Anolis sagrei: one gene and its partners. The protein of the gene in region 1 binds, or shares a complex with, the protein of each later gene. Links are inferred from orthologs where the notes say so. Each region holds a gene or a part of one and is shown on either strand. Other genes may lie near its edges. The genes, in order: ROPN1L, DNAJB13, NME5 and DYDC1.

Evidence for each region.
Region 2: ROPN1L (region 1) and DNAJB13 share a complex: the UniProt entries of both Homo sapiens proteins name them as parts of the axonemal radial spoke complex. The link is inferred for Anolis sagrei from reciprocal best matches to the Homo sapiens genes ROPN1L and DNAJB13.
Region 3: ROPN1L (region 1) and NME5 share a complex: the UniProt entries of both Homo sapiens proteins name them as parts of the axonemal radial spoke complex. The link is inferred for Anolis sagrei from reciprocal best matches to the Homo sapiens genes ROPN1L and NME5.
Region 4: ROPN1L (region 1) and DYDC1 share a complex: the UniProt entries of both Homo sapiens proteins name them as parts of the axonemal radial spoke complex. The link is inferred for Anolis sagrei from reciprocal best matches to the Homo sapiens genes ROPN1L and DYDC1.

The regions. Positions count from the first base shown.
Region 1 is NC_090024.1:104,141,238-104,148,573, reverse strand, and holds the start of ROPN1L (ropporin-1-like protein), read left to right. Parts: upstream 1-4,311; 5' UTR 4,312-4,498; intron 4,499-7,336. UniProt on the Homo sapiens protein: Functions as part of axonemal radial spoke complexes that play an important part in the motility of sperm and cilia. Important for male fertility.
Region 2 is NC_090023.1:5,702,356-5,709,621, reverse strand, and holds the start of DNAJB13 (dnaJ homolog subfamily B member 13), read left to right. Parts: upstream 1-4,262; 5' UTR 4,263-4,410; coding exon 4,411-4,478; exon of another isoform or gene 4,479-4,496; coding exon of another isoform or gene 4,497-4,507; intron 4,508-7,266. Other genes in the region: PAAF1 (proteasomal ATPase-associated factor 1), read left to right, coding at 723-805, 2,312-2,389. UniProt on the Homo sapiens protein: Functions as part of axonemal radial spoke complexes that play an important part in the motility of sperm and cilia.
Region 3 is NC_090022.1:88,384,459-88,392,043, forward strand, and holds the start of NME5 (nucleoside diphosphate kinase homolog 5), read left to right. Parts: upstream 1-4,562; 5' UTR 4,563-4,668; exon of another isoform or gene 4,669-4,813; intron 4,814-7,585. UniProt on the Homo sapiens protein: Functions as part of axonemal radial spoke complexes that play an important part in the motility of sperm and cilia. Does not seem to have nucleoside diphosphate kinase (NDPK) activity.
Region 4 is NC_090023.1:155,234,793-155,241,850, forward strand, and holds the start of DYDC1 (DPY30 domain-containing protein 1), read right to left. Parts: upstream 3,010-7,058; 5' UTR 2,755-3,009; intron 1-2,754. UniProt on the Homo sapiens protein: Functions as part of axonemal radial spoke complexes that play an important part in the motility of sperm and cilia. Plays a crucial role during acrosome biogenesis.

The DNA of each region.
Region 1 (7,336 bases):
GGTCCCCTGAGATTCTCAGAATACTTAATTCAATTCAAATTACTGAATTTTCGGGTTTGCAATGAAATCACAGAATGCATATGATTCTGCCAATGGAAAATCGTGGTTTTGCATATCCGCGCAAAGTTTGGAAATGTCTCTCCTATGTATATCAGGGTAGTGTTATGTGCAGGGAGGGAAATGTTATGCTTTGTATCACATTCTTCAGTAACTTTACCCAAATTTTAATATATTGCAGTGACATTTTTTGAGTTTTTTTTAAAAAATTCTGCTTCTGATTAAAGTATCTGTGCCATGGCTCCCCTTGTCCAAAAGTGCTGTATATAGTATATAGTCTCCTCTTTAATAGGCTTCCCATCACAATACAATGTTCAGTACCAATAAAATTTAATTTACATGCTTTCTTATTTTTGCCTGTTTTTCAAGATTGCCACTTTCATTTGTAGCTCCTAATTTGCAGGGAAATTATTTTTGTAACGCAGAACCAAATAACCAAATGTTTTACTATTAAAACTGTAACACTATAATGCTCCATGCCAACTTGTTTCTTGAACCACTAACAACCAACTCAGTTTTTTTAAGTACAGGGAATAGTTGAAATCTTAAATAAAAGGACGTCTTGATTGTGGTTGTCCGGATAGCTTTGACATCAATAATTGATATACAAGCAGGCATTTTTTTTTTAAAAGTGCTTTCAATAATGGGTGAGGATGTGAGAATACCATGTACTCTCAATATCTGCTGGGATTTGGTTCCAAGATCCCGTCTTGGATATCAAAAATTTTGTTTTTTCCAAGTACCAATAAATACAGTGGCAGAATAAAAGAGCATCCCTTATGCGGTATAACAAAACCCCAGTTTGCTTTTGGATTGTTTGGGAATATTTTCAAGCCATGCTTGGTTGAATCAGTGGACGCAGACTCTGTGAATAAGGAGAGCTGGCTTTATAATAGTGTTGGAGAGGCCATAGCCCACCTACTCTCTTCCTTCTCCAGCTCTGAGAAGGCTTACCCCACAATGTCTCCATGGCAATGCTCTTTAGCTCATTCTTTTCTTCCTCCTTTTCCCTCATATACCTCCCTCTCTTCTTTCTTCCCTTTCTTTGCCTCCAAGATCCAATCTAATCCAATAAGCCTTTATTGGTATATATATAGCAAAAGTATAAAATACAGTATCAACCATAGAAAAGGGAACTTCACATTTGCTACACATTCATTTTACAGACTTCGTTCAGGAATCTTGCCACTGAAAGGCAGCAGTTAAAATCTTGACAATTTAAAAGCATAATTACTTTGGGTCACACTGGTTTTTCAAGGAATCTATAACGTGTGTTGGTAAGCTAGATCTTGGTTCCTGGTAAAGTGGGCAGTACAGAAGAATATCCGGGATAGAATCCAGCTGTCTTGTGCTACAGGGACAAAGCCTCTTATTGCTTGGTAGACCGTTGAGTCTTCCTCTATGGAGCGGAGATGGCATAATATTAAATCTAGCCAGCATGTACGCTCTCCTGTAAGAGGGGTTAGTGAGTGCTGCAATGTAAAAGGCTGGGTTTCCCTGTATGAATGGGATTGCCATGTTGACAGTATTTCCTGCCCAGTTTACTGTATTGTTGCACTTTCCTGCGCTCCTGTAAAAATGTATTGCACTCATTGAATCTGTACCTCAGCTATGTTTCTTACAGCTATATTTTTATATTGCTTTCAGTTGTGTTATTATTTGTTTTCTCTGATTTTTTAATTGGTTAAAGTGTGTTTTAATTGTAATATTGGGCGTGTCCCTTATAAGCAGCCCTGAGTCCCCTAGGGGAGATGGTTGGCGGGGTATAAAAATAAAATTATTATTATTATACTGGTGAAATGTCAGGAGAAAATGCCTCTAGAACATGGCCATATAGCCCGAAAAAACCTACAACAACCTATTATTATTATTATTATTATTAATAGGTGAACAGGATTTATTGGCCAAGCACAATTGGTCATAATTCCTTTCTAGCAGCCTCTAGAGATCTCAGTGAAAGATAGCAAATTCAAGAAGTCGCTATCATAGCCCAATTACCCAATCTTTGCCTTATACGTCTTCCCCCTCCTCTTCTTCCTCTTCTTCTCCCTCCCCTCATAACTTTTCATTTCTCTCCCTTCCCTTCCTTTCTTTTCCATCTCCCCTTTTAATTTCTCCCCCTCCTCCTTTCCTTCCTGTCCCTACTTTTTCTTTCCTCCCTCCCTCCTTCCATACCCACTTCACTCAGTTTCACTTCCTTTCCCATGCACAGCTCAGAGGGCCACTTCACCTAGCCACAGCCAATCCGTTATGCTCCTTTTCTTTCCCTCTGGGCCCAAAGGGATGGTACGTTTAGTTCAAATCCTTCACTTATTTTAAACTAGCTGTATCCGAAATGTGTTGCTGTGGCCAACCTGCCTCTATCTCTCCTCCTTTCTTCTTTTTATTTCCCTTCTTCTTTCTTCCTTCTCTACCTGTTTCTTTCCTTGCTTCCTTTGCTCATCGGTTCCATCCTTCCTTGTCTCTTTCTTTGCTTCCTTCCCCTTCCTTTCGTTCCTTCTTCCTTTTCACTTTTTTATTTCCTTCTCTACATTTCTTTCATTCTCTCCTTCCCTCCTTCTTTCCCCCTTCCTTCCCCCTTTCTTTGTATATGTGTTTTGTGTGTGCATATATGTTTGTATATATTTCTGTATATATTTGTGTATATATGTGGTTTTGTGCATGAGTTGTAATGTAATTTTTTGTTTTTTGGCTTTTTAAGTCTCTTCCACTGTCCCTCCCCCCCCCCCCCCCCCAGTGTTTTATGGTTGATGGTCACTTCTTGGCCTTATAGGTGTAATGTGTCCAAATTTGGCAGCAATTCGTTCAGTGGTTTTTGAGTTCTGTTGATCCCACAAACGAACATTACACTTTTATTTATATAGACTAGCTGTCCCCTGCCACGCGTTGCTATGGCCCAGTCAGGTGATCTGGAAAATAAAGTAATGAGAAAGTGTTGGTTTTTAATATATGTAATTCCTTTATGCTTGTGAGTAAACAGTATTTCTTGTTGCTTCTTTGTCAGTGTTGATGTGGAGAGTGTCTGGTTTGCCTACTCTGGAATATGCAACATATCATAGTCCTTCTTTAAGGGTCTCTTTCAAATCTATGATACTATATCTGTGTGTGAGAGAGAGAATCATATTTATCTATCTATATTTATGACTGGATGGCTCTTTGTCAGGAGGGCTCTGATTAATTTTTTTTTGCCCTGGTGAACAGAGTTGGACAGGATGACCTTAAGTATTTTCTGTTGGTCATGGGAGTTCTGTGTGGGAAGTCTGCCCCATTTCTGTCGTTTGTGGGTTTCAGAATGCTCTTTAATTGTAGTGAACTATAAATCCCAGTAACTACAAATCCCAAATGTCAAGGTCTATTTCCTCCAAACTCCATCTGTGTTCATATTTGGGCATATGGAATATTTGTGCCAAGTTTGGTCCAGAACCATCATTGTTTGAGTCCACAGTGCTCTCTGGAGGTGAACTACAACTCCCAAACTCAAGGTCAATGCCCACCAAACCCTTCCAGTGTGTTCTGTTGGTCATGGAAGTCCTGTATACCATGTTTGGTTCAATTCCATCATTGGTGGAGTTCAGAATGTTCTTTGATTGTAGATGAACTATAAATCCCAGCAACTACAACTTCCAAATGTCAAGGTCTATTTCCCGTAAACTCCATCTGTGTTCATATTTGGGCATATGGAATATTTGTGCCAAGTTTGGTCCAGATCCATCATTGTTTGAATCCACAGTGTTGTCTGGATGTAGGCGAACTACAACTCCCAAACTCAAGGTCCATGTCCACCAAACCCTTCCAGTTTTTTCTGTTGGTCATGGGAGCCCTGTGTGCTAAGTTTGGCCCAATTCCATCATTGGTGAAGTTCAGAATGCTCTTTGATTGTAGGTGAACTATAAATCCCAGCAACTACAACTCCCAAATGACAAAATCATAATTTTTTGAGTAATAGTCACTCCTTGTGTTGTGAGAAGATTTGTTGCCAAATTTGGTGTGATTTCGTTCATTGGTTCTTTTGTTTTAAGACACTCATTATGCACAGTGCATTTATATATAGATACAGATTACATAACGAAGGATATGTGTGCTAGATTTGGTCCAGATCCATTAAGCCATGAAGGAGGCTTTGTGATACAAAGCAACTCAACAAAATACATACTTGGAAATGTATGTCTTCATGGGAAAGAGCTTTCCCTTTAAGAAGATGGCGCTGGTGGAACCACAGCCACTTCCTGTCCTCAGAGGCACTTCCGGAATGGATTCCGGAATGGAGAGGAGCCTGTCATAATGGAGTCCGGAGGCTAGCGATGACGTAAGGCCCAAGCGGCGACCAATCCCCGTCTAGGCTGCGAATCTCGTGGTTGCTAGGAGACGGTAAGGCACAAACGTTGCCATAGAAACCCAACCGCCGCGTCCCTGTGCGTGCCCGAGAGAGAGAGAGAGAGAGGTGAGGCCGTGGCCTTCGTTTGAGAAAGAGAGAGGGAGATGTGACTGATGTGCCCGATATGTTTGATTAGATTTTGCCTGATGTGTTTGTATTTGTATATATGGTACATGGCGTGTTTATATATATTGTCCCTGAGGTAGCTCCCCTTGGCCCTCCACCTTCTCTGCTCCCCAATGAACGACGCTGTGAGTAACTGCAGAGAGAGCGAGGGCTGAGGCCTACCAGAGCTGCGTCTACACCAGGCATTTTCAACCTTTGGACCTCCAATTCCCAGAAGCCCCAGCCAACTCGCCCAACGCTCAGGAATTCTGGGAGTTGGAAGCCCAAAATTCTGGAGGTCGAGGAGGCCTGATCACTGTATATAGAAATTATTATTATTATTATTATTAAACTTTATTTGTACCCCGCTACCATCTCCCCGGGGGTGCAGTGGGTTAAAGCACTGAGCTGCTGAGCTTGTTGATCTAAAGGTCGCAGGTTCGATTCCGGGGAGCGGCGTGAGCTTCCGCTGTCAGCCCTAGCTTCTGCCAACCTAGCAGTTTGAAAACATGCAAATGTGAGTAGATCAATAGGTACCGCTCTGGCGGGAAGGTAACGGCGCTCCATGCAGTCATGCCGGCCACATGACCTTGGAGGTGTCTACGGACAACGCTGGCTCTTCAGCTTAGAAATGGAGATGAGCACCACACCCCAGAGTCAGACATGACTGGACTTAGTGTCAGGGGACTACCTTTACCTTTTTACCATCTCCGCAAGGGACTCAGTGTGGCTTACATGAGGCCGAGCCCATAATACAACAATAAATTATTATTATTATTTGTACCTCACTAGCACCTCCCGAAGGCCTCGATGCGGCTTACAAAGGCCAAGGCCTCAATAGACAACATAACCATACAAACCTAAAGCAAATTAGAAACAAAGCAATATTAAACAACAATCAACAATACACCAAAACACAATAAAAACTGGGCCGGGCCAGAGTAATGGGTACAGAAATTAAAAGTGCTGATGTGACAGGTGGTATATATTGTCCCTGAGGTAGCTCCCCTTGGCCCTCCACCTACTCTGCTCCCCATTGAACGACGCTGTGAGTAACTGCAGAGAGAGCGAGGGCTGAGGCCTACAAGAGCTGCGTCTACACCAGGCATTTTCAACCTTCGGACCTCCAATTCCCAGAAGCCCCAGCCAGCTTGCCCAACGCTCAGGAATTCTGGGAGTTGGAGGCCCAAAATTCTGGAGGTTGAGGAGGCCTGATCTACACTGTATATAGAGATTATTATTATTATTATTATTATTATTATTATTATTAAACTTTATTTGTACCCCGCTACCATCTCCCCAAGGGACTTGGTGTGGCTTACATGAGGCCGAGCCCACAATACAACAATAAATTATTATTATTATTATTATTTATTTATTTATTTATTTATTTCACAGTTTTCTATACCAAGCTTCTCAACCTCATTGAGGGACTCAGCCCGGTTTCCAGCCATAAAAAACATATACACTCATTAAAATATCATATATCACAATTACAAAAACAACTTTAAAAACACTATATATAAAACTACAATGGTCAGTCGTCCTATTAAGATGGATCTACATAAACTTCCATCCAGGGTCCTATGGTGTTGTCTCATTCATTGAAGGCCTGACTCCACAGCCACGTCTTCACCCGTTTCCTAAATGTTAGGATGGATGGGGCGGTTCTGGCCTCCAGAGGGAGGGAGTTCCAGAGTTGCGGGGCCACCACCGAGAAGGCCCTGTCCCTCGTCCCCACCAGGCGGCTTGCGAGGCCGGTGGGACCGAGAGCAGGGCCTCTCCAGATGATCTTAATAATCTTGATGGTTCATAGGGGAGAATACGTTCGGAGAGGTAAACAGGGCCGGAGTCATTTAGGGCTTTATAGGTCAACACCAGCACTTTGAATTGTGCTCGGAAGCTAATTGGCAGCCAGTGGAGCTGGCGTAACAGCGGAGTGGTGTGCTCCCTGTACCCAGCCCCCGTTAGTAATCTGGCTGCCGCGCGTTGGACTTGCTGCAGCTTCCGGGCAGTCTTCAAAGGCAACCCCAAGTAGAGAGCGTTGCAGTAGTCTAAGCGGGATGTAACCAAAGCGTGTACTACCGTGGCCAAGTCAGCCCTCCCAAGGTACGGACACTGAGAAACACTGATCTAACACTGTACTACCGTGTACTGTACGACCGTGGCCAAGTCAGCCCTCCCAAGGTACGGACACTGAGAAACACTGATCTAAAACTGTGAAATAAATAATAATAATAATAATAATAATAATAATAATAATAATAACTTTATTTGTACCCCGCTAGCATCTCCCGAAGGACTCGATGCGGCTTACAAAGGCCAAGGCCTCAATACACAACATAACAATACAAACCTAAAGCAAATTAAAAACAAAGCAATATTAAACAACAAACAATCAACAATACACCAAAACACAATAAAAACTGTGCCGGGCCAGAGTAATGGGTACAGAAATTAAAAGTGCTGATGTGACAGGTGGTATATAAGGATTATAGAGTAAGTGCAGTGTGCAGTGTGCGACAATCTTAGTTCTAATAAAGTGCTTCTGGGACTTGGTATTGGAGATTTCCTATTCTGGGAAGGCGCATCGGAACAGCCAGGTCTTCAAGTTCTTTCTGAAGACTGCCAATGTAGGGGCCTGTCTAAGATCTTTGGGGGGGGGGGTGTTCCAGAGTCGGGGGGCCACCATGGAAAAGGCCCTGTCTCGTGTCCCCACCAAACGCGCTTGCGACACAGGAAGGATCATGAGCAGGGCCTCTTCAGATGAACGAAGTGAACGCATGGGTTCGTACACAG
Region 2 (7,266 bases), on another chromosome or scaffold:
TGTGGCCCAAACAGGCTGGCTAACCTACATTACCAGCTGCACATGCAAAAGACACACAGGCAAGAGGCAAAAGGAGCAGAGTAGCATAATGCTTCTCCAAACTGTATTCTAAAATCCATACAGTTATACCCCACCGGATGTGGCCCAAACAGGCTGGCTGGCCTACATTACCAGCTGCACATACAAAAGACACACAGGCAAGAGGAAAAAGGAGAAGAGTAGCATAATGCTTTTCCAAACTGTATTCTAAAATCCATACAGTTATACCCCTACCGATGTGGCCCAAACATGCTGGCTGACCTACATTACTAGCTGCACATGCAAAAGACACACAGGCAAAAGGAAAAAGGAGCAGAGTAGCATAATGCTTCTCCACACTGTATTCTAAAATCCATACAGTTATACCCCTACCGATGTGGCCCAAACATGCTGGCTGACCTACATTACTAGCTGCACATGCAAAAGACACACAGGCAAAAGGAAAAAGGAGCAGAGTAGCATAATGCTTCTCCAAACTGTATTCTAAAATCCATACAGTTGCACCCCACTGGATGTGGCTCAAACATGCTGGCTGACCTACATTATCAGCTGCACATGCAAAAGACACACAGGCAAGAGGAAAAAGGAGCAGAGTAGCATAATATAGACATTCCATCATGTGTCAAGACTTTGAAAATAGATCAGAGTTGTTGATTTTTATCATATCCTGTCTCTGTTTCTAGGGGACGGGACCTGTTTTATCATGCAGCAAGACCTCGATCATATTGTTGAACTCACTGGACCAGACTGCGACCCTGTCTATAAGGTAACCCATGTTAGATGTGCCATGATACATTATTTTATTTTTATTTTGATTTTTTTAGTACCTTTTTTAAAATAACCGTCCTATGATTTTTCCAGTTTTTCACATCAACTCTGAACTTCTAATCTTCTAAACACAAGGAAAACTTTCTACTGTGAGAGCTGGAATGGATTTCCTCGAAGTGTGGTAGACTGCACCTGTAAATGTCTTGGAATTAGATGTCCTTGATTGTTTCCTCTCTGTTGTAATTTTAGAGTTTTTTTAATAGTAATAGCCAGATTTTGTTCATTTTAATGGTTTCCTCCTTTCTGTTGAAATTGTCCACATGCTTGTGTATTTCAATTGCTTCTCTGTGTAGTCTGACATGGTGGTTGTGAGAGTGGTCTAATCACCTCTCAACAAAAGTTTGCTCGAAGCACTGTCATAGAATCATAGAATCAAAGAGTTGGAAGAGACCTCATGGGCCATCCAATCCAACCCCATTCTGCCAAGAAGCAGGAATATTGCATTCAAATCACCCCTGACAGATGGCCATCCCGCCTCTGTTTAAAAGCTTCCAAAGAAGGAGCCTCCACCACACTCCGGGGCAGAGAGTTCCACTGCTGAACGGCTCTCACAGTCAGGAAGTTCTTCCTCATGTTCAGATGGAATCTCCTCTCTTGTAGTTTGAAGCCATTGTTCCATTGCGTCCTAATCTCCAAGGAAGCAGAAAACAAGCTTGCTCCCTCCTCCGTGGCTTCCTCTCACATATTTATACATGGCTATCATATCTCCTCTCAGCCTTCTCTTCTTCAGGCTAAACATGCCCAGCTCCTTAAGCCGCTCCTCATAGGGCTTGTTCTCCATACCCTGTCAGGCCATTATATATTAATCAAGGTGGTCAGTTGAAACATTCCCACCTAGCTCCAGCAGACAAGAGTCCTTTGTCCCACCCTGGTCATTCCACAGATATATAAGCCCTTTTTCCTAGTTCCAACAGACCTCACTACCTCTGGGGATGCTTGCCATAGATGCAGGCGAAACGTCAGGAGAGAATGTCTCTAGAACATGGCCATATAGCCCAAAAAACCTACAACAACGCATGTTATAGCTTGATTGCTATCTGTCGGGAGGGCTTGGATTGAGTCTTCCTGCCTGGCAGAATAAAAGGGGTCAGACTAGATGGCCTTTGGGGGTCCCTTAGAATCATAGAATCAAAGAGTTGGAAGAGACCTCATGGGCCATCCAGTCCAACCCCATTCTGCCAAGAAGCAGGAATATTGCATTCAAATCACCCCTGACAAATGGCCATCCAGCCTCTGTTTAAAAGCTTCCAAAGAAGGAGCCTCCACCACACTCCGGGGCAGAGAGTTCCACTGCTGAACGGCTCTCCCAGTCAGGAAGTTCTTCCTCATGTTCAGATGGAATCTCCTCTCTTGTAGGATTGTCTTCCCTTTGCTCTTGTACAATTAGTTGTGGATGTGACATCTATTTTCACTGTGGTGTGACTTGACATTATTATTTCCTTAGGTGGCCACCTGGGAGAAGCAGATCTATTCCTGTTGCCGAGACGGGACCGTAAGGAGATACCAACTTTCAGAACTTTGAACAAAGATAGAAATTATTTCTGAACTCTGGGCATTTTTCCAAATGCTGGGTGTATTTTGAAATTTCCATGGTTTTGTACTGTAAATACAACTGGAGGACACATTTGTTTGGGGACCTCATGAAGACACAATGATCCTGAATCGAACGGCTAGTGATCTTCAACACGAACCACAACCCACATTTATTTGGGTTATGGTCCAGTTTGCCTTTGCAGACAATATGTTGTTGGTCTCTCCTTGTTGTTTCTAAAAGGAGAAGGTAAATCAAGGCGAGAAGATGTTTTTGGTATGTTTTGTCTACCTCTCGACTAGAAAGGAAACCAATAAAAAATTGTTTGAAAACATCATGCCCTCCTAAACAGAAGGATCCTTTTTTTCTGGTGCTCCTCAATAAATATTGTTTCAGTTGTAAATTCCCATTCAAAATAAAGCTGATTTCATCTTGAATTATTTCATTGTATTGATGGCATCAAGAAAAGTATTGACTGATTCCTTTTTTAAATGCATTCTCTTAGCAGTTCTTCATTTATCACTCCGACTATTAATGGTCGGAGTGAGCTCCCGACCATTAATAGTCTAGCTTGCTGTTGACCTATGCAGCCCAAAAGACATTTGCATCTGTCAAGTAGGAAATTTAGGTACCGTTTTATGCAGGGAGGCTAATTCAACTAATTTTTGACATTTATATTATTTTAGACAATATCATATTTTAATAATATTTTATTTATTTATATAAAATATTATGTGTTATTTATTTATCATACTTTTATATGTTTTTTACAGAACAGCATATTTTTTATTTATTTATAATTTATTTGCACTGTTTTTATACAATATGGTATTTTTTTATTTTTTTATGCCTTTAATCATATTTCTATACTATTTATTTATTTTTAATATATTTATCTGTTTGGTTTTCATATAATATTTATTGATTTATAATACATTTATTTACATTGTTTTTATACAATTTAATATTTATTTATACTATATTTCTTTGTATTCTTTTATACAATATTTATTTATAATACATTTATTAGCATTGTTTTTATATAATTTAATATTTATACTATATTTCTTTTCTATTATTTTATACAATATTTATTTATAATACATTTATTTGCATTGTTTTTATACAATTTAATAATTATTTATACTATATTTTTGTATTATTTTTATACAATATTTTTTTATTTGTAATACATTTATTTGCATTTTTATACAGTTTACTATTTATACTATATTTCTTTGTATTATTTTATACAATATTCATTTATAATACATTTATTTGCATTGTTTTTATACAATTTAATATTTATACTATATTTCTTTGTATTATTTTTATACAATATTCATTTATAATACATTCATTTGCATTGTTTTTGTACAATTTAATATTTATTTACACTATATTTCTTTGTATTATTTTTATAAAATATTTCTTTATTTATAATATATTTACTTTCATTATTTTTATGCAATAGGATATAATGTTTATTTATTTATTAGATATTTATTTGAATTATTTTCATATAATATTTTATTCAATTGGCAAGGTCCATTCAGAAAAGATGAGGCCCCGCCCCCGTTTGCCGTAACCATAGCAACGGCAGGCAATGAGTCGGAGGCCCCGCCCCTTTAGCCTAGACATAGCAAGGAGCTTGAGGCCACGCCCCTTCAAGCCTCGACCAATAGTAATGGCAAGATCCATTCAGAAAAGGTTAGCCCTTCCACTGGGTGAGGCCCCGCCCCCTTTTCCCGTAACCATAGCAACGCCAGGCAAGGATCCGGAGGCTCCCCCCCCTTTAGCAGAGGCATGGCAAGGAGCTTGAGGCCACGCCCCTTCAAGCCTCGACCAATAGGAACGAGAGGCAGCCCCGTCATGCTTTGCGGCGGCCTGGGCTGAGGAAAGCGGCCTCCCGTTGCTAAGGCCGCGCGTCCCTAGCAACGGGAGGCCTGAGGCAGGCGGAGTAGGCCCGAGGCGGGAGAAGGAGGCGGCGGAGGAGGAGGAGGCCGGCCGCGATGGGGCAGGACTACTACGCCATCCTGGAGCTCACCCGCAGCGCCACCGACGCCCAGATCAAGAAGGCGTGAGGGCCTCTCTCTCTATGAAGGCGGGGTGGGACTGCAGCTCCCAGCATCCCCGGCCTGAGGGGAGGAGGAATGATGGTGGAGGTGGTGGTGGTGGCAGCACTCTCACTTTGGGGCCTCCTTTAAATACATCAGCTCATTAGATAGGATATTATTAGAATTCCAGTTTCTCAAGTTGCTCCTGACACGACTGACTAACTAAATAATAATAATAAAAATAATAAAATAAAATAAAATAAAATAAATAATAGTAATCACCCCAAATAAAAGCCTTATATGACCATCATCAGAATACACTATATTATGATGATGGTGAGGGACGAGGGACAGGGCCTTCTCGGTGGTGGCCCCCCAACTCTAGACAGCATAGTGTCTAGATCCAGGGAAGTAATGCTCCCCATGCTCTATTCCGCTTTGGTTAGACCACACCTGGAATATTGTGTCCAATTCTGGGCACCACAATTGAAGAGAGATATTGACAAGCTGGAATGTGTCCAGAGGAGGGCGACTAAAATGATCAAGGGTCTGGAGAACAAGCCCTATGAGGAGCGGCTTAAGGAGCTGGGCATGTTTAGCCTGAAGAAGAGAAGGCTGAGAGGAGATATGATAGCCATGTATAAATATGTGAGAGGAAGCCACAGGAAGGAGGGAGCAAGCTTGTTTTCTGCTTCCTTGGAGACTAGGACGCAATGGAACAATGGCTTCAAACTACAAGAAAGGAGATTCCATCTGAACATTAGGAAGAACTTCCTGACTGTGAGAGCCATTCAGCAGTGGAACTCTCTGCCCCGGAGTGTGGTGGAGGCTCCTTCTTTGGAAGCTTTTACACAGAGGCTGGATGGCCATCTGTCGGGTGATTTGAATGCAATATTCCTGCTTCTTGGCAGAATGGGGTTGGACTGGATGGCCCATGAGGTCTCTTCCAACTCTTTGATTCTATGATTCTATGATTAGATAGGATATTATTAATATTGCAGTTTCTCAAGTTGCTCCTGACATGCCAAAATAAATAAATAAATAAATAAATAAATAAAAATAAAATTAATAATAGTAATCACCCCAGATAAAAAGCATTATATGACCACCATCATAATACACTGTGTGTGTGTGTGTGTGTGTGTGTAATTACCCCAGGTAAAAGCATTATATGATAATCATATATATATATATATATATATATATACACACACATATATAATGATTATCATATAATGCTTTTATATATATATAGATATCGATAGATAGATTATCATATAATGCTATTATATATATAATAGTATTAGATAATAATAATCCCCCCAGGGGTGAGGAAAGTGGTATATAAATACTGTAAATAAAATAAAAATAAATAAATCCTCAATATCATCATATAATATATAATAGTAATAATCACCCTAGATAAAAGCATTATATGATTATCATCATCATCATATAATATTATATATATATGTATACATATGTATATATGTTTAATAATAATAGTAATCACACCAGATAAAAGTATTATATAATAATAATCCTCATTATCGTCATATAATATAATATATAATAGTAACAATCACCCCAGACAAAAGCATCATACTTACTTCTACTTAGGCGATCCCTCGTTGGACGAGTAAGATGGTCTTCCGTGATGTGTTTCCTTGTGGATTCGTAGGTGGCTGTGGAGCCCTATTCTTGACCCGCATCTTCTCCCACAGTGAAGGCATTGGTTTCCAGGTGGAAGGCGGTCCCGGTCGGGGTTGGCTTGACGCGCCTTCCTCCTGGCACATTTCTCTGTTTCACCCTCCACTCGTGCCTCCTCGAATTCTGCAGCACTGCTGGTCACAGCTGACCTCCAGCTGGAGCGTTCAAGGGCCAGGGCTCCCCAGTTCTTGGTGTCTATGCCAGAGTTTTAGAGGTTGGCTTTGAGCCCATCTTTAAATCTCTTTTCCTGTCCACCAGCGTTCCGTTTTCCATTCTTAAGTTCAGAGTAGAGCAACTGCTTTGGGAGACGGTGGTCAGGCATCCGGACAACGTGGCCGGCCCAGCAGAGTTGATGGCAGAGGACCATCGCTTCAATGCTGGTGGTCTTTGCTTCTTCCAGCACACTGACGTTTGTCCGCTTGTCCGATATATAATGCTATTATATATTTAATAGTATTAGATAATAATAATCCCCCCAGGGGTGAGAAAGGCAGTATATAAATAATGTAAATAAATAAATAAAATCCTCATTATCATCATATAATATATAATAGTAATAATCACCCCAGATAAAAGCATCATATTATTATTATTATTATTATTATTATTATCATCTGCTGGAAGAAACATTAACAACCTCAGATATGCAGATGACACCACTCTAATGGCCAAAAGCGAGGAGGAGCTGAGGAGCCTTCTAATCAAGGTGAAAGAAAAAAGCGCAAAAGCTGGGTTGCAGCTAAACATCAAAAGAAGACAATTATGCTGGGGAAAGTGGAAGGTAAAAGGAAGAGGGGCCGACCAAGGGCAAGATGGATGGATGGTATCCTTGAAGTGACTGGACTGACCTTGAAGGAGCTGGGGGTGGTGACGGCCGACAGGGAGCTCTGGCTGTGGGCTGGTCCATGAGGTCACGAAGAGTTGGAGACGACTGAATGAATGAACAACAACAAAGTAACAATCACCCCAGATAAAAGTATATGATTATCATCATCATATAATATTATATATGTGTATAATGATAGTAGTATTGTTACATATTATTATTATTATGTTTAATAATAATAGTAGTAATCATACCAGATGAATATTATATATATG
Region 3 (7,585 bases), on another chromosome or scaffold:
CCCTTTTTCCTAGTTCCAACAGACCTCACTACCTCTGAGGATGCTTACCATAGATGCAAGGGAAACATCAGGAGAGAATGCCTCTAGAACATGGCCATATAGCCCAAAAAAACCTACAACAACCCAATGTGGGGTTTTTCTGCCTTGATATTCTGGGATATAGGGCTGTGTGGAAAGGTCCACAGTTGGAGGCTGGCCATTCCTGTGAAGAAGAAAGTCACTGAGGTATTTTATTCAATCCAGCTGGAAAGGGTGACAGGTCACCGTGAATCGCAAAAGGAAGCCAACATGTTTGGTACAAGCAAAACACATTTTCATACTGTTCAGTCTTTTGTTTTTCCCGCTTCACACTGATTGGCAGAACCGGCCTTGACGTCACAGCCAGTTGGGAGGATTCCCTCTGCGAGGTGAGACTGTGGCGCCCACCAGCAAATCAAAGAGTGTTCCCCACTTCCAATGCAGATTCTGACTCTCCAATGACTGGCGGGGCAGGATGACCAGTAGGACAAAACAATGCATAGTGTCTTGAGAGGATTACCGTGTCTAATGCCTCCAGTGCTAGTGTCCATTGAATTCCAGACCAGATATTGTCCAAGATGAGTGGATTATGCAGTCAGTTCCTGGGAAAGGGTAGATGGCATTGTGGATGACCGAGGCAGGACCTCCTGGTGTCCTGAAGGAGTGTTGGGTGATGAACATTCTCTTTGTGTCTAGGTGACTGCACAAAAAAACCCCATCTTATGGATCCAGACATCCTCTGTACAGTCGGGAATCAATGTAGATGGATTGATTCCAGTGATGATGGGTGCTTGAATCCTATTGTTGTGATGACGAGAAAGCGCTGGAGGTGACTTCCAGGTCAGGCAAAAGGTTACCTGAGCCTCAGTGTGGTGGCTTTATCTTCAAATAGTTTTATAAAATATAAAATATTATAAGCATATACAGCAAAGGGGTCCGGGGATACTGGGAGCTCATGTCACCGGGAACCGAGGTACCCATGGGGACGAGGGTTGGTAAAGGGGATAGCTGGGGTGAAAAGGGAAAGAAGGATGGGAGCCCCGCTTTGAGGGCTGTGGGGGCTATGGGGGCCAAGCGGTTACCGGGGCCTGCTTCAAGGGACGAAGAGGGGAGAAAAGGACATAGGAGGCAAAAAGAGATACAAATAATCAAATAAGAGAATAATACACCATAGTGTATACTTATTGAAGTGTTAGTTTGTAATGGGGGGGGGGGGGGGGGAAGCATCCAGGACAATTGGTGCTACTTGGTTCTCCAATTGCTTCTCAGATGGTTTGCATACTGGATCCCGGTGAGGCTCTGAGCTTCCGTTCTCCGTGACTCTGTCATGGCTCCAACTATACTTTATTAATAATTTGACCACGCTCGATCTCAGTTTGACACTACTTTTACTGCCATGGCTCAATGCAATGGAATAATGTTGTAGTTCTACAAGGTCTTGAGCCTTCTCATCCAAAGACTGCCGGTGCCTCACCAAATCACAACTCCTAGGTTTCCATAGCTATTTTCTGTCAAATGCTTTTCTTCATACAATGCATACATGGTGATTATATTTTATGTATAAATTACCTATCTGTCATAGAGCCACTAATAGGTTTGTTTTCTGTATTCCTGCTCCATTTTTAAATTGCAGGTAAGCAATTTCATTTCTGGGCAAATCCAACAAAGAAGACACATAAAGAAAAGATTCAGTGAGCATCAACACAAAGCCATGATTAATAATTTATTCTGAATAGTCATTTGAAGAAAAACATAAGCTGCAGTACTATACACTATTTGTACTAAGCTATTTTTATTCTTACTTTGCTCGAACAGAACTGTTTTACAACAGCACTGTAAAAAGGCAGAAGTGGAGTAGAAACAAGAATTCCACACAAAACTTAATATAATACCTTATTATTCACCCATATCCATTGCCAAACCCAAAACCATCCTGTAATAATAATTTAGAAATTCCATTCAGCAAAAAAAAAAAAATGCACTGTTTTGTTTGGATGTCCCATACACTTAATTGTTTCTTATTCTTGATGGTGCGGTAGGAGAAGTCTTTTAAAATGGTCGATTCATTGCTCAGATGTTTCTGCAGCTACAAGAGGGTAATCAATCATTTCCTTTTTTATTATGTTTTTCTTTTCATGTTTCATATCACTAATTTATTAGAAGTTATCAACTGGAAGTAATAAAAATAATTTCTACTATATTCTGATGGCCCTTCTACACAGTCAGATAAAATCCAGATTATCTGCTTTGAATTGGATTATATGGCAGTGTAGACTCATATAATCCAGTTCAAAGCAGATAACATGGATTATATGCTTTGATAATCTGGATTATATGATAGTGTAGAAGGGGCTCTAGATTGTCTGTGCTTCTTTATTAGTAATTCCTCTCACCTTGACCACACTCCGAAGTTCCTTACCTGTTCCTGCCACAGTTTTCACTGATGGTAGGTATGTGTTTATAGGCTTGCCAGGGTCAGGATAGTCTCTTGGCCACTGCTAGAACAGAACAGAATAGATCAGACAGAATGCAATAACCAGAAAACTAATCTCACTCAGAAATATGCTGACAGTGTCTCCACGGTGTCCCATAACACATGTTTCTTTCTCAACAGATCCCCACCCACTCAGAGCCAAAACTGTCTAATGGCATCACTGGCTGCAGGTGAAGACATGTTGGTATATTATCTATTAAAATGGGAAACACTGTAGAACACTGAAAAATAAAATTTCAAAAAGATGTCTACTTTAAACTATTTTCCCTAATGTGCTATTACTTATTTGGGTTTTAAAAATATTCTTCTGGCATTAATTTGATACATTTAAACACTGGTTAAATAACACTTATCTGAAATGCTAAGAACCAGAAGTATTTTAGTTTTTTTAAATAACTGATTTTGCATATACATACAGAACAAGTTATCCAGGAGATGGGATACAAGCCAAAATATGAAATTAATTAATAATGTCTCCATATTTTATACACATAGCCTGAAGATAAATTTATACACAATATTTTTTTAACAATTTTATGAAACAAAGATGTTGTTTTCTCAGGAATCCACTGAATGATTTTGCATTTCAAAATTCCAGATAATGAATGCTCAACCTGCTCATTCAACTTGTTATAAATAATCTATGAAAACAATGTGGCTGCAGTAGTTTTAAAAGACCTAAATCCCAACTTATAGAATCAAAGAGTTGGAAGAGACCTCATGGGCCATCCAGTCCAACCCCATTCTGCCAAGAAGCAGGAATATTGCATTCAAATCACCCCTGACAAATGGCCATCCAGCCTCTGTTTAAACTTTAAGATTTTGTTTTTAGTCTCTCAGTCCCTTCACACCTTTGTAAGAGTTAACAAAACACTAGCAATTCCTTAGGTAGGATGAGGGGATGCCAAGAATTACTGTATTGTCCCATAGGAGAAGACGGGAATCCTATATCTAATTGCCTGGAAATGGATTCTTTTGCACTTCATGAAACTTGGTTCTCCCAAGACTAACGTGTATGGGCAGGCCTGTTCACACTACGGTGTGATAAATCCACGTTAACTATAATGTCTGTCTGGGGCATAGTTTATGGAGGGTTGTTGAGATTTCTCTGCTAGAGAGCTCTAGTGTGTCACCAAACTACATCTCAGGAGTCCATAGGTTGCCTTCATGACTGTAGAACTCCAATCTTTGTTGTTGTTCTGACTTATGGTGATCCTGTCGTGGGATTTTCTTGACAAGATTTGTTCAACAAAGGTTTGCCATTGCTTTCCTTTGAGGCTGAGAGAGTGTGACTTGCCCAACTAACTTTTCCCTGCCAACTAACTCATCTGCCAGACTAAGACCCCTTCCACACAGCTGAATAAAATCTCACATTTTCTGCTTTGAACTGGAATATATGGCAGTGAGGATTCAGATAATCCAGTTCAAAGCAGATATTGTGGGATTTTCTGCCTTGACATTCTGGGATATAGGGCTGTGTGGAAGGGCTCTTAGTCCTTGATGAGGACTACAAACTTGTTCAGGGTATGGTTAAGTTTCAATAGAAAGTTGTGCGTATGCCTTACAAAATTCATACTTGTCTCCATGTGGATATAACCACAAATAGAAAAAACACCCCACACAGAGGTTGTGACCTCACAACCTGAGAATGCCTGCCATAGATGCAGGCGAGAATGCTTCTAGAATATGGCCATACAGCCTGAAAAACTTACAACTCAAACACCCCATAGGCAACCCCTAAACTAAAGGCACCAGATCCCATCTAATCTTGGGTGCTAAGCAGGGTTGGCCCTGGCTAGTACTTGGATGTTGTTGTAAATGAAGGAACTGGCAAAACCACCTGTGGGCATTACTTACCTAAGAAACCCTGTGAAATTAATGAGGCTGAATACATGGATGGAACAAGAGGGCTATGCTGGTGCCTATAATATACTCCTAAACATATCAGGACCTAACTGCATGAGTTATAGGGAAGGGAGGTTGCTATCTGCTCCCGACCATCAAGCCTCGAAGCTCGTAGAATGCATACTGAATGACAAAAGAGCGACCGCGCATTTCAAAATGGACCCTCGCCGGCTGCCGTAGCCGCTGGCTTGGGCTGCAGTTTCTTTGGTTGCCTGGCAACCGCATCTGGGGCGAGAGGTCTAATTTAGCAGGTATGCGGGGCCAATTCCTCTGTTCATCAGGCCCCAGGTGGAAGCGCGGAAGGGTTTTCTCTTTGGCAACTGCAAAGGGCAACGGAAGAAATGACAATGATCCCGGGAAGGGCGGCAGAGGGGTTTCAAGGGGCCAGGGAGTGAGGTAAACGTTTACTTCGGGGGATTTTAATTCAAGATACACTGTGGGTGCATCCACACTCTAGGATTAATGCAGTCTGACACCACTTCAACTGCCTTGGCTCAGTGCTGTGGAATCCTGGGAGTTGTAGTTCTACAAGGTCTTGAGCCTTCTGCTGGTACCTCCACCAATCTACATCTTCCGGGATTCCTTAACATCGAGCCATGGCCGTTAAAGGGGCGTCAAACTACGTTAAGTGTAAAGTGGAGATGTATCTAATGTTAACTGGGAGCCCTGTTACATTTCACTATTATCCCACTTTAACTGCCATGGTAACATCCTTTGAAATCCCAAAATGTACACTTTAGGGAGGGAGGGAGGAAGGGACCTTGGGCCTCACTAAACAACAAGCCTTAGGATGCCTCAAGGTGGCGCCATAGCAGGTAAAGTGGAATACCAGTAGTCCTTGCTCCATCATCACTTACAGTGGGTCTCCTCGTCAGCTGGACTTTGGTTCCAGTAACTCTCAGTAGATACCAGCATCCGTGGATGCTCGTCCCACTGTACACAATGACATGGTGACATAGAGTCCCTTATATTTGTTGTTGTTGTTTATTCATTCAGTCACTTCCAACTCTTTGTGACCTCATGGACCAGCCCACGCCAGAGCTCCCTGTCGGCCGTCACCACCCCCAGCTCCTTCAAGGTCAAGCCAGTCACTTCAAGGGTACCAACCATCCATCTGGCCCTTGGTCGGCCCTTCTTCCTTTTTCCTTCCATTTCCCCCAGCATCATTGTCTTCTCCAAGCTTTCCTGTCTTCTCATGATGTGGCCAAAGTACTTCTTCTTTGCCTCTAATATCCTTCCCTCCAGTGAGCAGCTGGGCATTATTTCCCAGAGTATGGACTGGTTAGATCTTATATCCTGTATATAAAATGGCAAAATCAAGGTCTGCTGTAACGAAGCCTCCCAGCTGCTGGCACCAAATTATGTAAAGAAGTACTATTTCCACTGAATGTGAGGAAGTCCAAATTTTCCCTGATGCCAACAATATTTGTAAGGAACCTTCTTTTAGATATCAATTAAGCTGCCAGCAATATGTCTAGAGACGCTGGTTTATGTCTCTGTTTATCTTTAGTTGTGTTGTGAGGTGACGTTGGTAGTGTGGAATGCACCAAGCATAAAGCAATGGAGGAGACAGGTTTGAAATATAAAGAGAACAAGTTTTATTGTTAACAGAACGTAATTGTTGCAGTTTTGAGAATTTGAACTTGGCACAAGGCTTGATGTTACAAAATGGCTGGTTTGAGATACATTCAAGCTTCTGATGTTACAATTCTATAAACTCCTTCTTTAGTGAAGTGCTTTTATTACTTCAGAGTTCCCTATTGTGAATATTCCACACTGTTTGTCCTATACTCGGATCAAACCACTTTCCTTACTGGCAATCCTTAAAACCCCTTCTGTTAGATTCTTTTAACCTAAGCAATCTAACAAGGTAACACTTTCAGCTCTCTTGCTGAAGAAATATTCACAAATCCTAAGAACTAACTGAATTCTCACAGCTTCACAACCCAGAGCCCTAACTGACTCTGATCCTCTTCCCCGGGTCTCATCCACCGGACTGACTATTAACTGTCGCTTTCAAACCTTTTATTCCTTAAACTCCGCCCACCTCCTCTGAGGCCTTGTTACCATGGCAACCTATCTCTTACAGTTAGGCCATAGCAACTAATGTAAACCCTAAATACAGTTTAAACACAGTACATTAAACACTCTATAATAAACATTTCTCTACATCTGCCTTTTGTAATTTATGTTTGCGGAGGGGGGGGGGTATGTTCAAGCCATGGATAGTCGAATGTATGGATGCAGAATCTGTTTATATGGAGAGCCAGCTTTAGTGTGCTAGTTGTGTGGAGTTTCTTAGGATCTTGTGTAACCTTTTTCACAAATAAACTCAGTGGCCTGAGATTGGGGATTTTTTAAAATGGTATTTGTTGTAAGTTATTTATTTCTTATATATGGTGTAGGCCAATTGGGTTATTTGCTTTAATTGATTTATGATGTTTTAGTTGAATATGTATTGTGTTTATTTCTGTTTTATAAATCATTATATGCCACTTTAAATTCCACTCATGGGACAAAAGCGGAATAAAAATGAATTAATAATAATAATAATAATAATACTTTGAGAAATAGAGCTTGCTGAGTAAAAACCATGAGTAAAAAAAGGCAGAAGTCAACGGGCAACCTTTTTTCTAGACAATAGCAGGGAGCATCTGCCAGTTTCTACCTATTATCCAACTCTTAAAGCCAGAATTATCAGAGCAACAGCCATCTCAAAAAAATACTTCTTTAGGCTCTATATCCCAGGATCTGATTCCAGGTTTTCTGTTTATCTCAGATTATCTGGCAGTGCAGACTCATATTTAAAGCAGAAAACCTGGGATCAGATCCTGGGATATAGGGTGTGTCTAGATGACCCTGGGAGGGTTATGTGACTGTAAACATGATTATGACTTCAAGTGACATGTAGACTCCATGAATTTCATAGGGTTTTCATAGGCAAGGGATACTAAAAGATTGTTATCACGTTTAAATTAGTGGGATTTATATCTGAATGAAACAATTTGGTTGACAATTTTTCTCTTTTCCCAAAAAGGCTACCAGAGTGGCATTTTAGGAAATACTGTCCCTGCTCAAGGCTAGCAGCATAAAAGAAAAGCTACAAGAAGAAAGGAGATGGAAGGAGGAGGGGAAAAGGGAAACCCAAACAGTAGTTATTCATTTTCA
Region 4 (7,058 bases), on another chromosome or scaffold:
CAACCTGTGGGTCCCCAGATGTTTTGGCCTTCAACTCTCAGAAATCCTAAAAGCTAGTAAACTGGCTGGGATTTCTGGGAGCTGTAGGCCAAAGCACCTGGGGACCCACAGGTTGAGAACAGGTGAAAAAATACAAAATTTTGTGTATTCTGAGCAGTATCGTGTTGCTCTATGGAAATTCCCATTGAACAACAAGTCGCATGGCATTTGGATGCCTATTGTATATACAATGGGAAGCATGACTTGACACCCATGCTTTTGGATCCATTTGCACAATGGTTCTGGAGGGGGAACTCTGCCCTTGCTGGATTCTTGTGAATATGAGCATTGCCCAACATTGAAGACCATTGCATGTGATCATAATTCATCTCTGTTGCTGTTGTGTGCCTGACTTATGGTGACTTCAAGGCAAACCTATCATGATATAAATTGTTCAGAGAGCCTTCCCAGTCAGTTGTAAGCATGAATTTTATACTTGTGTCTTGTGTTTAATCTCTGTTATGTGCATTTTAATAAGTATTTTACAGAAATATGTTTTAAATATGTATCTATGTAATTTGTCAGTTTTTCATAAACAAACAGATATTAGGAAACACAAGGGGGGGGGGTGCCCACACAAAAACTTAAGAATTAAAACTCACCCAATACTTTTTTGTTTGAATGCTGTAATTTTTGTAAGTCAGTTTTATTTTCACTTCAAATGAGGTGAAGCCAAAAAAGCTGTCATTCCTATTTGAATTAAGAAATGATAGGCTGCTTCTTGCTATGAGGACAGGAAAGCAGCAGGGCAACATGAGCTGAGTGAGCTGGGAAAGAGACTAAGAGAAAACAGAATTATGGGAAATGTAGTTTGGAAAGCCGAGGAGCCCTATGGCAGAGAATTCAAAAGGTCCTGCCCTAAACTACATTTCCCAGAATTCTAGGAATCCCCACCCCAAGTCCTAGTAGCACCTTAGCATAACAAATTGTCACTGCACATCGCACTTTTAACCCTACGTGCCTCCTGCCATTCAGCACTTTTAACCCTTGTACCCCAGTGCGCCGGCCGAACCAGTTTTTAATAATGTCCTGATGTACTGCTATTGTTGTTATTTTGCATATTGTTTGATTTGTTTAGTATTGCGGTGTTATGTTATTTTGCTTACTGTTTGATTTGCCTTGTTGTTGTGATGTTATATTCTCTATTGTATTGTGTTTGAGGCTTCGGCCTGTGTAAGCCGCATCGAGTCCTCCGGGAGATGCTAGCGGGGTACAAATAAAGTTAATAATAATAATAATAATAATAAGCATCAGAAAGCCCCAAGCGGGATAGGGGAGAGATTGGTTCCTCATAGAAGTAGCCAGAGTTCCAAGAAATTGTTGAATTTGCAAAGAGGAGGACTAACTGATACAAGCAAATAAATTTCTGCTGGGCTGTAAAGAAATCCCTAAATTGAAGTTTTGTTGGTTAAAGACATTCAATGAAATAGCTGTTGTGGGGTTTTTTTAAAAAAAGTTTTTGTCATTTTTTAAAAAAAATCCAAAAAATCAGTAGATGCATGAATATTTTGGAAAGTTGGGGGGAATGATCCCCTGTTATCCTGTGCCATTGTATAGAAAATTCAAGGAGCCACCTCTTGTATTTTTTTAATTTTGTTTGTAATTTTTTTTGAAAATTTGCAAAAAAATCCATAGATGGGTGAAACATTCTGAAACTCCATGGGCTAACAGTGGTAAATATGTTCTATAATCATAGCAAGTTTCATGCCAATGAGGCAGAAAGGGGCCTCTGAAGTTTCCCTACTTGCACAATTACTATAATGAAAAAGTGACAAAATTTTGTTACTCTCATTACAGTAATTAAATTTTTACTAACGATACTTTAGAAACCCTTTAGAAATGAAACATCAACACCCCCTAATTTTGTAATGAATTTTGAAACATTTTTTCATTGATCACACAGCATATATATATGGGTGTAGGTGTGTGTGTAAGCCAAAAGCCCCATAAAAACTCACTAAACACTCTTCCATTTATAAGACAGAGAAAATAAAGGCTTGTTGCATTATCTGAACATGTGTGTATAGAATTTCTACGATATTCATGTGTTTTAATTATGCTGTAACCTGTCTCAATGGAGCCCCCGGTGATGCAGGACAGGTCACAGGTTCGAATCCGGGGAGAGGCGGATGAGCTCCCTCTATCAGCTCCAGCTCCTTATGCGGGAACATGAGAGAACATGAGAGAAGCCTCCCACAAGGATGATAAAACATCAAATCATCCGGGCATCCCCTGGGCAACATCCTTGCAGACGGCCAATTCTCTCACACCAGAAACGACTTGCAGTTTCTCAAGTCGCTCCTGACACGACAAAAAAAAAAACCTGCATCAAGCCACGAGGAGAGACAGGTAAGAAATAAAATAATAATAATAATAATAATAATTATTATTATTATTATTATTATTATTATTATTATTATTCAGGCTGAGAGAAAATGCCCAAAGTTCCCCAGTGGGTTTCTATGCCTGAGATTCAAACACTAGCCTTCCAACCTTCAGATTATAACACAACATCATACAAGATGCTACATTGGGATATTGGGATTAATTGGGCCCATGGCGATTTTACCTTACCAGAGATTGGTGTATGAAGCACCCCCCAGTCGGACTCTCTCAGCATCAATTCTAGTTCAAATGAGAAGCCACCCAACTGTCATCACTAAGAGAATCTACATATCATGATAGAAAAAAGTATTTATCAAAAGGCAAACTTACACTTGAACCCAAGGATGTACCAAACTGTAATGTCTCTTTCTTCAGTATGGCTTCATCAACTGAGGATGCTCAGAGAAGCCGTTAGACCTGGAAGCTTCTGTTTGGTATCCTAGCAACGGACCACTGCTTTATCTCTGATGATGCTACAACTCCCTCTTCTCCGTAGACAAGATGTTCCTCCTACCTTTACTTGGTTTGACTTTTAATGCTAATTGGCAAGATCAGTCTTCACAAGCGCTGGATCAAAATGTTTCTTACTGGGTAATGATAGTTTCCCAATTTACTAATCTTGGAAAGATACAAAGCAGATTAAAAAGGATGGAGATTTCGAAGTGATCAAATCAGAACGTGAGAAAGGATTGTGTGGCAATGATTATATGAGGAAGAGAGAAGAGTGTGGGTTACAATTTGAAAGAAAACCTGAAATGGGTGTATTATTTATATCTTTTTCGAGTTAAATGGTTAAATAACTATTGTTGGAAATATCTTGAAGAGTATATCATCAATGTTTCTTCCCGAGTCTTTGTCCAGTGAGCTGCTTGAGTCCCCCAAAGGGGGCATTTCAGGCAGCAAATGGATGGGCTCCCGCTGCGTGCTAGGGAAGACCTTTGTCCAACAGATTTTTGCCCTGGCCATGCCTTCTGCCAGAGTAGAGGAGAAATCCTGGAATAATTTGAGATTGCTCAAGAGGTTAAAAGAGTTCATTTTGGTTTGCCTTCTATTTAATGTATTCCATGATATCAAAATAAAGCAATAAAATAAAGACACAGGGATAGGAACTAAGGGAGGTTCCATCATAAGTTCATAGTTAGAAATAAGGGAGAAGTCAGGGTCTCTCTTGGCCCCATAGAGCAGGGGCCCTCAAACTATGGCCTGAGGGCCGCATATGGCCCTCCAAGGTCATCTAACAGGCCCTCACTCAGAGTCAACCTAAATCTGAAATGACTTGAAAGCACACAACAATAACAACAATCCTATCTCATCAGCCAAAAGCAGGTCCATACCAATAAGTTTATATTTATTTAAATTGTTTTTCATTTTAATTATTGTGTTGTTTTTATTTTATTTATTTTTTTGCACTACAGGTAAGATATGTGCAGTGTGCATAGGAATTCATTCATTTTTTTCCACAATTATAATCCGGCCCTCCAACAGTTTGAGAGACTTTGACCTGGCCCTCTGTTTAAAAAGTTTGAGGACCCCTGCCATAGAGTATAGGAGAGGTTACTCCCTTTTATTTGTTCTTTTTATTATCTCTGCACTGATGCAGAGTTTCAAAGGAAAGAATTTTCAAAGGAAAAGAAAGATACAGTGTTCCTTCACTTATTGTGGCTGTTACTTTCCAGGGTCACCCACAAAAAGTGAAAATCCACTAAGTAGGGACACTATTTATTTACTTTACTTGTATACCACAGTTTCTCAGCCTAACAGGCGACTCAACGCGGTTTACAACAAAGGTACAACAGTCAACAATATACAATTTAAAACCATAAAAGCATAATACACAATATTGACACAACAATAACAACCCAATGCATCTCATGACTAAAATCGTGATCCAGTTTCGTCGTCCATATTACCATTCCTGTAATCATCACATTCATTGCACCGATTAACCAAATGCCTGTTCGAACATCCAGGTTTTTAAGTAGCATCTCAAGCTGCCATTGCAAAAGTCCTACTCTCATTTTTGGTGTGTATTCATCCTCTGAGTATATCCTGACACCCTTTTCTTTTTAGGAAGCTTTATGCCTCTCCTGCCTTTCTTTCCATGCACTGGGTTGGTCTCGTGATGTCACGCAGGTCCAGGGGCGGCTCAACCCATTACGCAAAGTAAGCATTTGCAGTATAGTTGATTTTGCCCAGGGCACTCTTGAGGTGCTCTTGGGGGAAAATAGACCTTGACATATGCAAGTTGTAGTTACTGGAATGTATAGTTCACCTGCAATCAAAGAGCATTCTGAACTCCACCAATGATGGAATTGAACCAAATATGGCACACAGAACTCCCATGACAAACAGAAAACATATATCAGTGATTGGTTGGTGGTTGGGGGGGGGGGATACTGTTTGCTTACCGTTGAAAATACCTAGAGCCGCCTCTGCGTGGGTCCCCCCTCCTCCCTCAAGACCCACCTGCCATTCACCCCTCTAGACCTGTCCATCATCCTTCCCTTCCTTCTCCCGCTTTCAATCCGGACAGGCTCCCATCTGCAGAGGAAAGTGAGGAAGAGGGGGAGAAAGAAGAAGGCGAGAAGGAGGAGTTGGGCAAGTGGGGTGAATGCAGGAGGCGGCTTCCCAGGCTGGCATATCCCACGATGCACGTGGCAAGGAGAGACGTAGCTCCAGTGTAAATATATACATTACTGTATTTATTGAAAAACCGCGAAACAGCGAGTCCGTGAAAAGTGAAGTAGTGAGGGAACACTGTACCTAGTATAGTGTTGGAGGGGAAAATGTTGACAAAGTCCCAAAAATGGAGATACATTGTAGCATCAAAGGAATTGTGTTCTCTACTACTTCATCACACTAGAGCAGGGGCCATCAAACTTTTTAAACAGAGGGCCAGGTCACGGTCCCTCAAACTGTTGGAGGGCCAGATTATAATGTGAAAAAAATCATAAATGAATTCCTATGCACACTGCACATATCTTATTTGTAGTGCAAAAAAACACTTTAAAACAATACAATAAATAAAGAACAATTTTAACAGATATAAGCTTATTAGTATTTCAATGGGAAGTGTGGGCCTGCTTTTGGATGAAGAGATAGGATTGTTGTCACCCTACAACCTCTGAGGATGCTTGCCATAGATCAGTGGTTCTCAACCTTCCTAATGCAGCAACCCCTTAATACAGTTACTCATGTTGTGATGACCCTCAACCATAAAATTATTTTTGTTGCTACTTCAGAACTGTAATTCTGTTCCTGTTATGAATTGTAATGTAAATATCTTAAATACAGAATGTATTTCATTTACTGGACCAATTTGGCACAAATATCTGATACGCCGACATTTGAATGCTGGAGGGGTTGGGGGAGGGTTGATTTTGTCATTTAGGAGATGGGATTTATAGATGGAGATTAGAGGGAGAGAGGAAGAGAGTTGCAATTTATTAAGAAGTTTAATTTTATCATAAGCATTCAGAAACAGGAGAATTGAAGCTGGGGCTAACAGCGGGAGCTCACCTCGCTCTCCAGATTTGAACCTGTGACCCGTTAGTAAGTTTAGCAGCTCAGTGGTTTAACCCACTGAGCCACCAGGGGCTCCCAGGTATAAGTTGGAAATCATTTCAATGTGTTTAACATTTTTATTCTTAGTGTAAGTTTTCCTGTTGTGTGCAGTTTTGTGCTTGTTTTGATCTGTTTATTTAGTTGATTACTGTAATTTCTTTGAATTTAAAGGGTCGTTTAGAAAGCTCTTGACTACTGCATTTCAGAGTATTCAGCACCCATTCTATAATTATGGAAATCATCTATGTTTTTGATTTTGATTTTCTTAATATTTTGCTGTATTGAAAATCATATTCCACTGTTCAGTCCCCTACGAGCTCCTCCCCCACAAATATACCTTTTCAATTGCTATTTCATCCAGAGTTTTATCATTTTATGTCATGCAATTGGCCCACCCACTGTATTTGATTTTCCATTATGTTATTTTGTATTGTTTATTTGATTGGTTTATTTATTTTATTGTGATATTATTTTGTTGTTTATATTTTATGTTGCTGTAATGTATCGCTGGACTTGGCCTCGTGAGCCAAGCTGGATGGCCATCTGTCAGGGGTGATTTGAATGTAATATTCCTGCTTCTTGGCAGGGGGTTGGACTGGATGGCCCATGAGGTCTCTTCCAACTCTATGATTCTATGATTCTATTCTCTTTGGGGATTGCCAATATCCGCTGGATAATGGAGACAGGCAGGGAGTTTCAGAAAGATATCTATTTCTGCTTCATTGACTATTCTAAAGCCTTTGACTGTGTGGATCATAATAAATTGTGACAACTTCTTGGTGGGATGGGCATCCCAAGCCACCTTGTCTCTCTCCTGAGGAATCTGTACAAGGACCAAGTAGCAACAGTCAGAACTGACCACGGAACAACAGACTGGTTCAAGATTGGGAAAGGCGTACGGCAAGGCTGCATATTCTCACCCAACCTTTTTAACTTGTATGCAGAACACATCATGCGATGTGCGGGGCTTGATGAATACAAATCTGGGGTGAAAATTGCTGGAAGAAACATTAACAACCTCAGATATGCAGACGACACCACTCTGATGGCCGAAAGCGAGGAGGAGCTGA